Linked DNA regions of Nothobranchius furzeri. The protein of the gene in region 1 interacts with the protein of each later gene in a pairwise test. Links are inferred from orthologs where the notes say so. Each region holds a gene or a part of one and is shown in the gene's direction. Other genes may lie near its edges.

What was found.
Region 2: the proteins of gnb5a (region 1) and gng3 interact in a two-hybrid assay, tested with the Homo sapiens proteins (2 studies listed by BioGRID, with this or other methods). The link is inferred for Nothobranchius furzeri from reciprocal best matches to the Homo sapiens genes GNB5 and GNG3.

The regions. Positions count from the first base shown.
Region 1 is NC_091744.1:64,507,233-64,512,489, forward strand, and holds the end of gnb5a (guanine nucleotide-binding protein subunit beta-5a), read left to right. Parts: coding exon 1-103; intron 104-1,432; coding exon 1,433-1,576; intron 1,577-1,659; coding exon 1,660-1,751; intron 1,752-1,836; coding exon 1,837-1,885; intron 1,886-1,955; coding exon 1,956-2,052; intron 2,053-2,732; coding exon 2,733-2,899; intron 2,900-2,982; coding exon 2,983-2,994; 3' UTR 2,995-3,990; downstream 3,991-5,257. UniProt on the Homo sapiens protein: Enhances GTPase-activating protein (GAP) activity of regulator of G protein signaling (RGS) proteins, such as RGS7 and RGS9, hence involved in the termination of the signaling initiated by the G protein coupled receptors (GPCRs) by accelerating the GTP hydrolysis on the G-alpha subunits, thereby promoting their inactivation.
Region 2 is NC_091750.1:53,593,762-53,600,036, forward strand, and holds the start of gng3 (guanine nucleotide-binding protein G(I)/G(S)/G(O) subunit gamma-3), read left to right. Parts: upstream 1-2,389; 5' UTR 2,390-2,567; intron 2,568-3,206; 5' UTR 3,207-3,207; coding exon 3,208-3,306; intron 3,307-4,334; coding exon 4,335-4,463; 3' UTR 4,464-6,275. UniProt on the Homo sapiens protein: Guanine nucleotide-binding proteins (G proteins) are involved as a modulator or transducer in various transmembrane signaling systems.

The DNA.
Region 1 (5,257 bases):
TCTGTCTCTGGATAAAAACGAGAACCTAGCTGCAAAGAAGAAGTCAGTGGCGATGCACACAAACTACCTGTCTGCTTGTAGCTTCACCAACTCAGACATGCAGGTGAGGAGGCACAAAGTTAAAAATCACAGATGAAAGCAGCAGCTGCACATGCCTGACTTGGTTAATAATTCACTCCTGTTTTATTGTCCTGGTCACATGACATTTCACCATTTGGCTTGTAATAAATTAAAAAGCTACAGCCATATTTAGTAAATAGTGAAACTGGGGTGTAAAAATGTTAAAACCCCCTTTTCACCACAGTATGTCTAAATATTTAAACATATATTCACATAAAAATATTGAACATTCATTTTGAATTTAAACTAAATATGCATCATGGTATTCAAATCTAATTTTAAAATGTGATGTGTTTACACAAAATATTTTGAAAAAGCTTAAAAACAGAAGAAGATGACATAAATAAATAAATGTTATAAATAAACAAATAAAAGCTTTTATTTTGGAAGGCTACTTCAGTTCTACATCAGAATCTGAATGTCAGCTAAATGTATGCATTTATAGTGGTATTTAAATATAGCTTCACACAAACTTGAATCTAAATATTTATTATTTTTAATGTCGTTTTTTAAAGCTTCATGTAATAAAGTTTAGAGGTTAATTCTTGAATTTACTTTGATGTCTTTGACAATCACCATGGTCTTGATTCGGAAAAGGGTAGAATGCCTTCTCTGGGTCAGGAATGAGGTCCTGCCCCAAGTGGAGGAGTTTAAGTATCTCAGGGTCTTGTTCACTAGTGAGGGAAAACTGGAGCGTGAGATCGATGGGTGGATTTGTGCTACATCTGCAGTGATGCGGGCGTTGTCCCGGTCTGTCATGGTGAAGAGAGAGCTGAGCCAGAAGGCGAAGCTCTCGATTTACCAGTCGATCTACATTCCTACCCTCACCTATGGTCATGAGCTTTGGGTAGTGACCGAGAGAACGAGTGGCTGGGCTCTCCCTTAGAGATAGGGTGAGAAGCTTGGTCATTCGGGAGGGGCTTGGAGTAGACCCGCTGCTCCTCCATATTGAGAGGAGCCAGTTGAGGTGGCTCGGGCATCTGGTCAGGATGCCTCCTGGAAGCCTTCCTGGTGAGGTCTTCCGGGCACGTCCAACCGGGAGGAGACCTAAAGGTAGACCCAGGACACGGTGGAGGGACTATTAGTCTCAGGGAACGCCTTGGGATTCCCCCGGAGGAGCTGGCCCAAGTGGCTGGGGAGAGGGAAGTCTGGGTCTCTCGACTTAGGCTACTGCCCCCGCGACCCGACTCCGGATAAGCGGATGAAAATGGATGGATGGATGGACTTTGACAATCAGCACCCCATTACTCTCGTAGCACCATCATCTTAAGTAAGCATATACCTTTCCTCTCTTTGTCTGATTGTATTAAAGATCCTGACATCCAGTGGTGATGGAACATGTGCATTATGGGATGTTGAGAGTGGGCAGCTGCTGCAGAGTTTCCATGGACATGCAGCAGACGTACTGTGTCTGGACCTGGCTCCGTCTGAGACAGGAAACACTTTTGTTTCAGGGGTGAGCATGCTCTCTGTGCTGCTTATTTAAATGTTGGACGATTTTCATTGCCGGAGTCGCATTAATCTTTCCTGTTTCTGCAGGGCTGCGATAAGAAGGCTAACGTGTGGGACATGCGTTCAGGACAATGCATTCAGTCCTTTGAAACTCATGAATCAGACATAAACAGCGTGCGGTGAGTCACGGTCCTGATCAGAAAAAACGTGATTGCTATTCTGACTGACTTTGTTTTATAATGTAGCCCAATTTTTTTCTAATAGATACTACCCAAGTGGAGATGCTTTTGCATCTGGATCAGATGATGCCACAGTAAGTTAAACTGTTAAACACCTCAAAGGGACATTTTCAAGTAAACTGAAATCGGTTGTTTTTGTTTCAGTGTCGGCTTTATGACTTGAGGGCAGATAGAGAAGTGGCTATTTATTCCAAAGATAGCATCATATTTGGGGTCTCCAGTGTTGATTTCTCACTCAGTGGTATGATATTATTTCCCTTCAATACTACTTTTGAATATATGATCCTCAATATTATTTAAAGGTGTGGTGTACTTGTTTATTCAATACATTTGCAGTGTTCTCTATTATAAATCAATGCCTTATGAGTCATTTAAATTTAAAAAAAGCTATGCTGCTTCTGTTCTGAGATGCAGAAGTTTACTGGTGCAGAGGTGGGCTGAAAACAGCTGGATTGCTCATTATTATTAATGATATGCCCACACCTCAGTTCTGACTGGCTCACAGAACGTGTTCAGCCGTGTTGAAAAGTCACCATCACCAGGACACTCTCCGCTCTCTCTCCTTGTTGGAAAAAAACAACAACAAAACAAACGAAAGCCCTCCTGTGAGTGGGCGCGAGCCAAGATGGGCGAGGCCATGAGTACAAATCCAGTGTGACATAGATATGTGAGGATTTTCAGATCCTAGCATTTCGCTGTATTTTCTATCAGAAGCTGATGCAGGAGGTAGGTGTGAAGACAGTTTTCATGTTCAGCCTGCATGAAAACTCGGAGTGACCGATTTTATAATCAGAAATAATAAAAAAAAAATTTTCAGGGAACCACACGTTTAAATATTGAGGATCTTGGCTCTTTCTTTGCTTACAATTATTACTTTTTAAAGATCGCTGAAAAGATTTGTGTGTATTTTCATTTTAACAGGACGGCTACTGTTTGGTGGGTACAACGACTACACTATAAACGTCTGGGATGTTCTCAAAGGAACACGGGTCTCTATTCTGTTTGGACATGAGAACCGTGTCAGCACGCTGCGTGTCTCTCCCGATGGTACGGCCTTCTGCACAGGATCCTGGGATCACACTCTTCGGGTATGAGACTTTTTTGTAACCTCTGAGATAACTTTTCAAGTTTCAGTGACTTCTGCAGTGATTGCTGCTTTTTCCTTTTTCAGATCTGGGCTTGAGCGTCGAGCCACAGTGACCTAGATGCTGAAGACACACTGATGTTTCTGTTTGCTAGAAAACAATCACAGAGATGGAAACACTTCTTGGATGTAGATAGAGCATTTCAATAGCTTTGTACATACTCCAGTCTCCTGGACAAGGATAGATTTACATGTCAAAGAGTAATTAAACCAAATGGCACGCTTACATTTCATTAAAACTGAAAGAAAATAGCACAGAAATATAGGTGCAACTTTTATTTTAAAAAAATGAAGAAAATATAAATAGTAGTAACTTGCATTGGTCTAGGCTAGAAGTGATTCAGTAAAGTTATTATTACATTTGTCCACTTGAAAGGAAATTAGCTATTTATTTAATTTACACAAGGTAATAAAAAGAGCAAAAGCATTTAGAGAAGGAAGACTAAATAAGTCTGATTATATCACTGATTGGACCTAGAGGGAGGATAGGATAGCCCCTTCTGTGTGAAGTCAACACCATGAAGTTTTAAAAAAGGCACAGAAAATTATATATTTCAGTTTTAAACCAGTTGAGCTGTGGACTAGAGAAATCTCTGGCCTTAAATACAAAAAAAAATCTGCTAATTTGAACTATTATTCAAAGAAACAGACAAAAATGTCACTATTATCAATGATGGTTCACCTGTCATACTTATACTAAGAAGGTAGATAAAAAGTTTTACATTCATGTTGATTTCTATCTTTAGTTATACAAATTGTTCACTTCCTGTTTACTTTTCTGCTGTATAAGAAACCAAAAAGTCTACGAATTCAGTAACAACTGACCACATTATTTATGCATTTATTTATTTTTGTGGTTCCCCTCTTGTGGTTTTACATTTAGGGAGATTAGGAAAATGTAGTCCCTCCTGTGCAGCTTTGATGGCTGTAAAGTTCACATTCACTGTAATTATTTTACTGTAGTTTAGTGTACAGATATCCAAGGGACTGTTATTCAGAATATTACAAACATAATAAACAGAATTTTGAATATTGCTCTTGTGTCTGTCATTCTTTATCTTTATATTACAGAGATTTTTTTATTATCAGGGAAAAAGTCTTGGAGTGAGATTTTATTTATTTAAATTTTGTGTGTGTAGGTGGGGTGGGGGGCGCTTTAGTTGCGGCAGTCTTTTAAAAATGAAATCACAGATCAACAATCCACAAATATGTAATTTTCAATAAAAGCAAATGATACATTAGTCTGTAGCTAGCTGCTAATTGCTCCTGCTTTAGCTCAGTAATTTGATTATGTTGAACGCAGGTAATTAAAATAGATTGATTGAGTTTTAGTGCTGCTAACACTAATTTGAACTCTGTTTTAGTTTTAAGAAGTATGTTTTCTTTTGAAGGAATCTCCAGGAAGTGCTAATGACTAATGCACTGGGTTATAGTTATGAACTTCTTGTAGAAACAAAGTTCGTCCAGCAGAGAGCAGTAAAATTCTCAATCTCGAAAATCAGGTTGAATTATCGTATTCGCATCTAGTTGACCTAATACGGGAAACATTCGTGTCCCGGTGACCCTGATGGCCGTTTCGTCACTGCACAAAACCATTGGTTTAAAAATTGTTACGTAAGTATAATACGATTTTTTTTAGCTAAATTAAAAGAGAAAAGCCTGTTGGAGCGAGGTTCTGTCGCAAACGCCAAATCGCTGCAGTATTTATTTTATTTTGAAATCCTTTAAATGAATTGCTTTTATTAACTATTGTAACTTTGTGAGTGAAGTTCTTAATCTTCTTTGTTTCCCCCTTCTTCTCCTTAATATATTAAATATATATATAACAAGAGACAAAAATGCATTATATTTTCCAGCTTCATTGCGATAAGAGAAGTAAAATGTTCTCCAATTGGTTTTTTAACAACCAGATTTGTTCTAGCTTTTCGCCGCTGGAGGGCGTCAATTCCCTCTTCTCGCTCATATAAAGTCAATTTATATGTCACATATATGTCGATGATTTAAACCATATATGGATAAAACTGAACTTGTAGCGCAGTAGCCAGAGGAATGTGTAGCTCAAACAGACTAACCTTTTTAGTGTAAGAAATTGGGGGTGTGGCGTGAGAGAGACATGGGTCTTGGGTTGGGGTGACGGGGGTGGCGCTTAAATGGTTCCGCTCCTACCTATCAAACCGTACCATCTCTGTACAGATTGGTGACTGTGCATCCTCCAGTCTTCCACTGCCTTGGGGGGTGCCGCAAGGTTCCGTTCTTGGGCCATTGCTGTTTTCAATCTACCTTCTGCCTCTGGGCAATATCC
Region 2 (6,275 bases), on another chromosome or scaffold:
ACACAATCCAGGCACTATATCTGAGTTGACATCTAAGTTGAACTCAAATGATCGGAAGAAGATTTGGAGACCTGGTTGAACACACACACACACACACACCTTTAAACATGACACGAGGACAAAAGTGGATGTGTGTTGAATGTTTGTGCCAAGATGCTGTCGCACACTTCATCGTGGGATGTCAGCAGTGATGTTCCTTCAGCTTCCTCTGAGGTGACCTGAAGTTATTCTCTGTGGCTCTCTTAACCATGATGCCAGAAGTTTCCATAGGACCACACAGTGGTTCTCTTGGTAACAAGATCAGACATTCGCGAGACAAAGTGGACGCTGTCACTGTCCTGGTGTGGTGTGTCATTTGACAGTTATGTTAACATTTAGCATGAGTTAGCCTAGTTCCAACACTCATGGGTTTAAGATGTTTTACCCTGAGGGTATCTATTAATAATTACATAAATAATGCAAAAGCATCAACACTAGAGCTAATCCAGTGACACAAATGACTGAAATGGCTGTGCATGGATTCACATAACATTAATAATAATATTGATGGAATAATGTATTGAGCAGTTTTCAAGAATTTTATTTTCATTTATTAAATGTTCTGTGGTGATATCCCATTAAGTGTACCGTGCTGTTATTGCTGATGTTTCAGGCTAGAATGTTGGGTCCATGAAGAACAGAAAAGAAATCAAGCAGGTTGTCTCCAGACTTCTGAAGGTCCCAAAGTGACATGGAGCTAATTAACTTACACTTAATTAATGCTTATTAAGTAAAATGTATGGGAAAAGCTAATTAATTTGGATATTTATACTACATCACACACATCTGACTTATATTCCGATGGTCTTCTATGAAGATACTATATAATAAAATAATAATAATGTAGCTGAGCATTCAGACTGTTTTGTAATAAATAATTTTTTTAAAGAAAGCTATGCTTAATAGAGAAAATTATGGGTTTTTCCTTGACAAAAATTATTATTATTGTTATTGTTGTTGTTGTTGTTGTATTCTGTTGCAACAACAACAACAAAATGTCAGTAAAAATGGGGAAATGCTATTTTTTTCTCGCAAGCACAGAAGGGAAGATGTATATTTTATGGAGACACTTTCCCATTATCTAGACTTACTATGCGACGCTAATTTAAAGACTGTAGAAATTTAAAAGTGGTATGTTTTATTTTGAAAGGATTTACAGGAAATGGTAATCAGATATGTCTTGTTTGTGAACACTGTAGTAACGGGTTATGTCCGCCAGAGGGCGAAAACATATTTACGCTCAAAAAAACAGATATTGAGTTGTTTCCTTCACGTTGACTTAAATGATACATAAAAATCCCATAGAGACATAGTTTGTTGCCACCATTAAGTTAAATGAATGATTTCAAGTAAATATAATAAAGGTTTATTTAGAAAAATAGTATTTAAAAAAACTGAGTTTTTATTGTTGTTTTTTTTATCCTAGTTTATAAATTTATTGTTAGATCAAAAATAACCTTTTTAAAAACATTTCTATGTCCCCCGCTGGTCTCCCGTGTTTTTAAATCCAAAATTTGACAGGTCTCCTCTCCTCCTCCGTCTTGTAACAAGAAGTTCAAGCTTGTCGCCACTGGAGGGCACCAAATCCCCCTTCTCACTCATGTAAAGTTGATTTAAAACTGGGTTTGTAGCGCTGTAGATATGCGTGTTTACAGTGGCACGATGCAGAGTAGCTCAGATAGTTTCACTTTTTTCAGCTTGAGAAATTGGAGGTGCGATTTTAGAGCGTGTGAGACAGTTTAATGCGTGTGTCTCACGCTCATTTGCGTGAGAGTTGGCAGCCCTCTGCTGCTACTGTTAGCGACGTGTCTCGGTGGACATCTTTCCTCCACAGTTGGTCTGAAAGCGTCGTGAAACTCACAAAACGCACTCGTGCTACCATTTATTATCCATTCATTGCACTAATATTCACACTGGCTCAAGCATTTTATTTAAGTAGTAGTCACTCATCTAAATACATGAATAAACCTGTGAAATTTAAATGTGATGTACACTAGAGTAGTAGACTGCAGCAGTCCCCATGGCAACGGAGGAGAGGGAGCGAGGGCATCACAGAGCATCACATCATAGCCAATGGGGCTCGTTCTTGAGATTTGTGTGTGAATCTGTTCATTGCTGAGAATTAAAACCACGCAACAGCATTGAACATTTTGATTCAAGACCGAAATTAAAACGATAGAAATTCAATTTGGCAGCAATTTCTCCAGCAGAGATATGGTACAATCCACCCACATAAAACAACCATCTCTAATGTCATCCCTGCCCCTCCCTCCCTCCGTCTGGCAGGCACCACTCACCGTTGAGGGGGGATTCCATCCATCCACCACAAATCTGGTGCTCATTGTGGCAGAATTGCAGTTCACTGGACTGTACAGAGCAGGGTACCATCCAGGCTGTTCTCTGTGAGGGGTGGGGTCCGGCTACACTGACACCACCTAACAGAGGCTCACAGAGAGAAGGGGAAAAGGACAGGAACCAGAGCGAGAGAAGAAGGGGGACGACAGCACCTGAAGAGGAATATAATACGGGTAAGGAGGGAAGGGGGATGGAGGGAGAGGGAAGGAGACAATGAGGAAATGTCCAGAATGGGTGAAACAGATTTGCTCCTGTGCCTCTTCGCTTTATTCCATCCCTGTTGACAATCCATCTGACTCAATCCCCTTTTTATTTTGTCTTTGGTATTTTTTTATTCCATCGTTCACATTAGGTCATCCCTCACCCATCTAAATGGTTTCTACTTTTACATCTGATTGTTCTGTGGATGTGCTAGCTGATCATGGGGGGAATCAGTGGGCCATGTTGGAGAAAATAACCATTTGGCCTAGTTTATGTTTCTTTTAGCTTTTCAAAAAACATACAGCCTTTTGTTCCATTTGAAGATGACAGAATCCTGTTGTGCCGATTCAATGACACATGTTCATCTTTATTCCCAGAAACTGCATGCATCTATACCTCACAACCAGCTGTTTAAATCTCAATCATCTAAACATTTTTAGGATTAACTCTTATTGAGTAACACAAACCAGCAGTTAAGTATTTTACATTGTTAGCTGAGCAAACGACTACTTTGCCAAATGCACCAAATCAACCTTTTGATGTGCAACAGAGCAAAAGGGACCTACTCAACTGCAATGTTTAACCATAAATGTTGATGCTCCTGTGGCTAGGATGAAAGGAGACACCCCAGTCAACAGCACCATGAGCGTGGGCCAAGCCAGGAAGCTGGTGGAACAACTAAAGATCGAGGCTAGTTTCTGCAGGATAAAGGTACGTCCAGTTTCAGACAACAGGACAGGGAAATGTCTGGTGGATTATTCTCATCTTTTCAAACTTGGGCCACTGGCAGGTCTTCCTTCTCTTTGATGCTCCTGATGTTGTCAAAGACACCTTGCTGAAAGTTTCATCTCTTTATCGCAACAAATTAGAAGTATGAGGGGAAATGTAGAAATTAGCTGAGTTTTCACTTCAAAACAACACGTTTCATCTCTTAATCATATTCGCTCTCAATTTATCAATCGTTCCTACCCTCACCTATGGTCCCGAGCTTTGTGTAGTGACCAAAGAACAAGATCACAGATTCAAGCGACCAAAATGAATTTTCTCTACAGGGTGTCTGGGCTCTTCCTTAGAGATAATGAGACGTTTGTTTATCTGGGAGGGGCTCGGAGTAGACCCGCTGCTCGGAGTAGACCCGCTGCTCCTCCACATCGAGAGGAGCCAGTTGAGGTGGCTCAGGCATCTGGTTAGGATGCCTCCTGGACGCCTCCCTGGTGAGGTTTTCCGGGCACATCCAACCAAGAGGAGACCTAAAGGAAGACCCAGGACATGCTGGCAGGACTATGTCTCTCAGCTGGCCAGGAAACACCTTGGTATTCCCCCAGAGGAGCTTGCCCAGGTGGCAGGGAATTCTGGGCCTCTCTGCTTAGACTACTGCCCCCACGACCCAACCCCAGATAAGAGGATGATATTAGATGGATGGATTTATTTTTATTCACATTCCTCCGAGCCATTCTGACATACAAATGATGACTATGCTGTTTGGCTGTTATAAATAATGTATAAACTTATCAGCATGGTTTGAGCTACATGAGCTAAATATGTAGTATTGGGGGCTCCTATGGGCTTCTAGGTATTTTCATGACTAACATGGATTGAACTCAGACAGAAATAAATGGATATTTTCTCAAGTAACCTGAAATCAAAAGAAGCAGTGATATAAATGAAAGAATCTCTGGATGTAAAACATCACAGTGAAACATTCTGAAAAACTCTAAATCAGATTGTTTTTCCTCCAGGTATCAAAGGCTGCAGCCGACCTGATGGCGTACTGCGACGCACACGCCTGCGACGACCCCCTGATCACCCCGGTGCCCACCTCAGAAAACCCCTTCAGGGAGAAGAAATTCTTCTGCGCTCTGCTTTGAGACAAATCAGGGATTGATGTGATTCAAAGTACAACTGTACAGTATGTACATGTTTGTACAGTGTGTACATGTACTTCCAACCTAAGTAAGACATTAATGTACCATAGTAACCTCCCATCAGAGCTGCCACTGTACAGTACATAATCAACTACATGTTAAATCCTAAAAGTGATTAGAGGGCGGGACAATTTGAGACTAAACTCAAGATTTGAACAGTCAAGTTTCAAAGTAAAGGCTAAAAACATAAAAAGCCATCATGTTCCATGCTTGAATGCTTCAAGTAACTGCTAAATATACGCTGATTAAATTCAATTTTATGTGGAAATCCTTAGGTTCCGGGATAAATGTTAAAGCAGCAATCCGTAGTGTTCAGGCATTACGTAGTTTTTTAGAAATCTGTAAAAGTGATACGTCTTCTTTTGCTAAGCCTACTTCCCTTCCCATAGAGCTTCATGCAATTTGAATTGAGACCACTCAGCATTAGCCAATAGCGTTAAGCTTAATTTATACTCCTCCGTCGGTACAGAGACACGTAACGCCATTGTCCGTCATCACAAGGGCTAGCCAACGAGCAAACAAGGACGGATGGAGTAGAGCCCACTTTTCTAACTATCCATCAAAAACAGTGAAGATCGCAAGCCTATGAGTGGTCAGAATGCCGCTTACGTCCTTCGTCAACAGCACCACTTCTGACTGAAGGAGTACAAAGAAACGCTGCAAACTTTATTTGTGTAGGGAAATTACAAGAAAAGTGAGTTTAGAGGTGGTGACTGGATGAAGAAGTGGAGGGCAAATATGTTAAAAAGTTTCTGAAATATATAAACACACTAGAGACACGACTATATTGATGGCAGGATACCCCAGATATGTGCTACGCCCTCTGTAGTCCTGGCGGAGTATTGCTTTACAACACTGACACCAACGGAGAAGTATTAAAGGAAACGTCTTTATCACTATGTGTCTGTTGCTGCTGCCTCTTGGCCAGATCGTCATTGTAAACGAGGATTTCTCAATCGACTCATCTGGATAAATAAAGGTTGAGTAAATATGTGGGCGTGTAAACACAGACTTACTGATGGAGATGTAAAAAATTAGTCTTTGGACTTCTGCGTATGTATAGATGTCAATCACAGAGCGTGTGCGCGTGTTTGTGGACGCATCTAGACTGATGCAGAGTATGCAACATTTCTTATGGACACTTAAGTCTCTATAAATGCATATAAGCATCAGTTTGCCTGGCTAGAGGTACAAGTTCATAAATGAGAGGCATTGCTTCCTGCTATAATCACGGAAGGGGAGGGGCTTTAAGGTGCAATACATGTTTCCACCTGTAGATGGTGCCATTTACAAAACAAACTCCAGATTTCTGCTTTAAGTCAGGGCCCCAGATTTCAAACTCCTTGTAGATGGAAAATATTACCCAACAGACATTCATTGTCATTTTTAGAGTGGGGTCTAACCTTTTATTTTTTAAAACCAATTCCTATTTTCTTGGTGATTTTAGCAGTTACTTGTATCAAACCACAACAGCTGGTAATAACCTACAGATGAAAGATATTTCTTTAAAAGATTTTCTCAAGATTTGAGCATTTTTGCCAATCCGGTTACTGTCGTTTGGAAGTGGACGTGTGTGTGTGTGTGTGTATGCATAGGTGCTACTGTGAAACTTAAAAGCAACAATTCTGAGCATTTTATCCCTGTAAATTTAACATTTCCTTTAAACACATTATTCAATGACACAAAGAGCCCCAAAGCAACACTTTTCAGGGGGTACAGACATTAAAGCTAGTTTATTCCACGCAGCCATCAGGT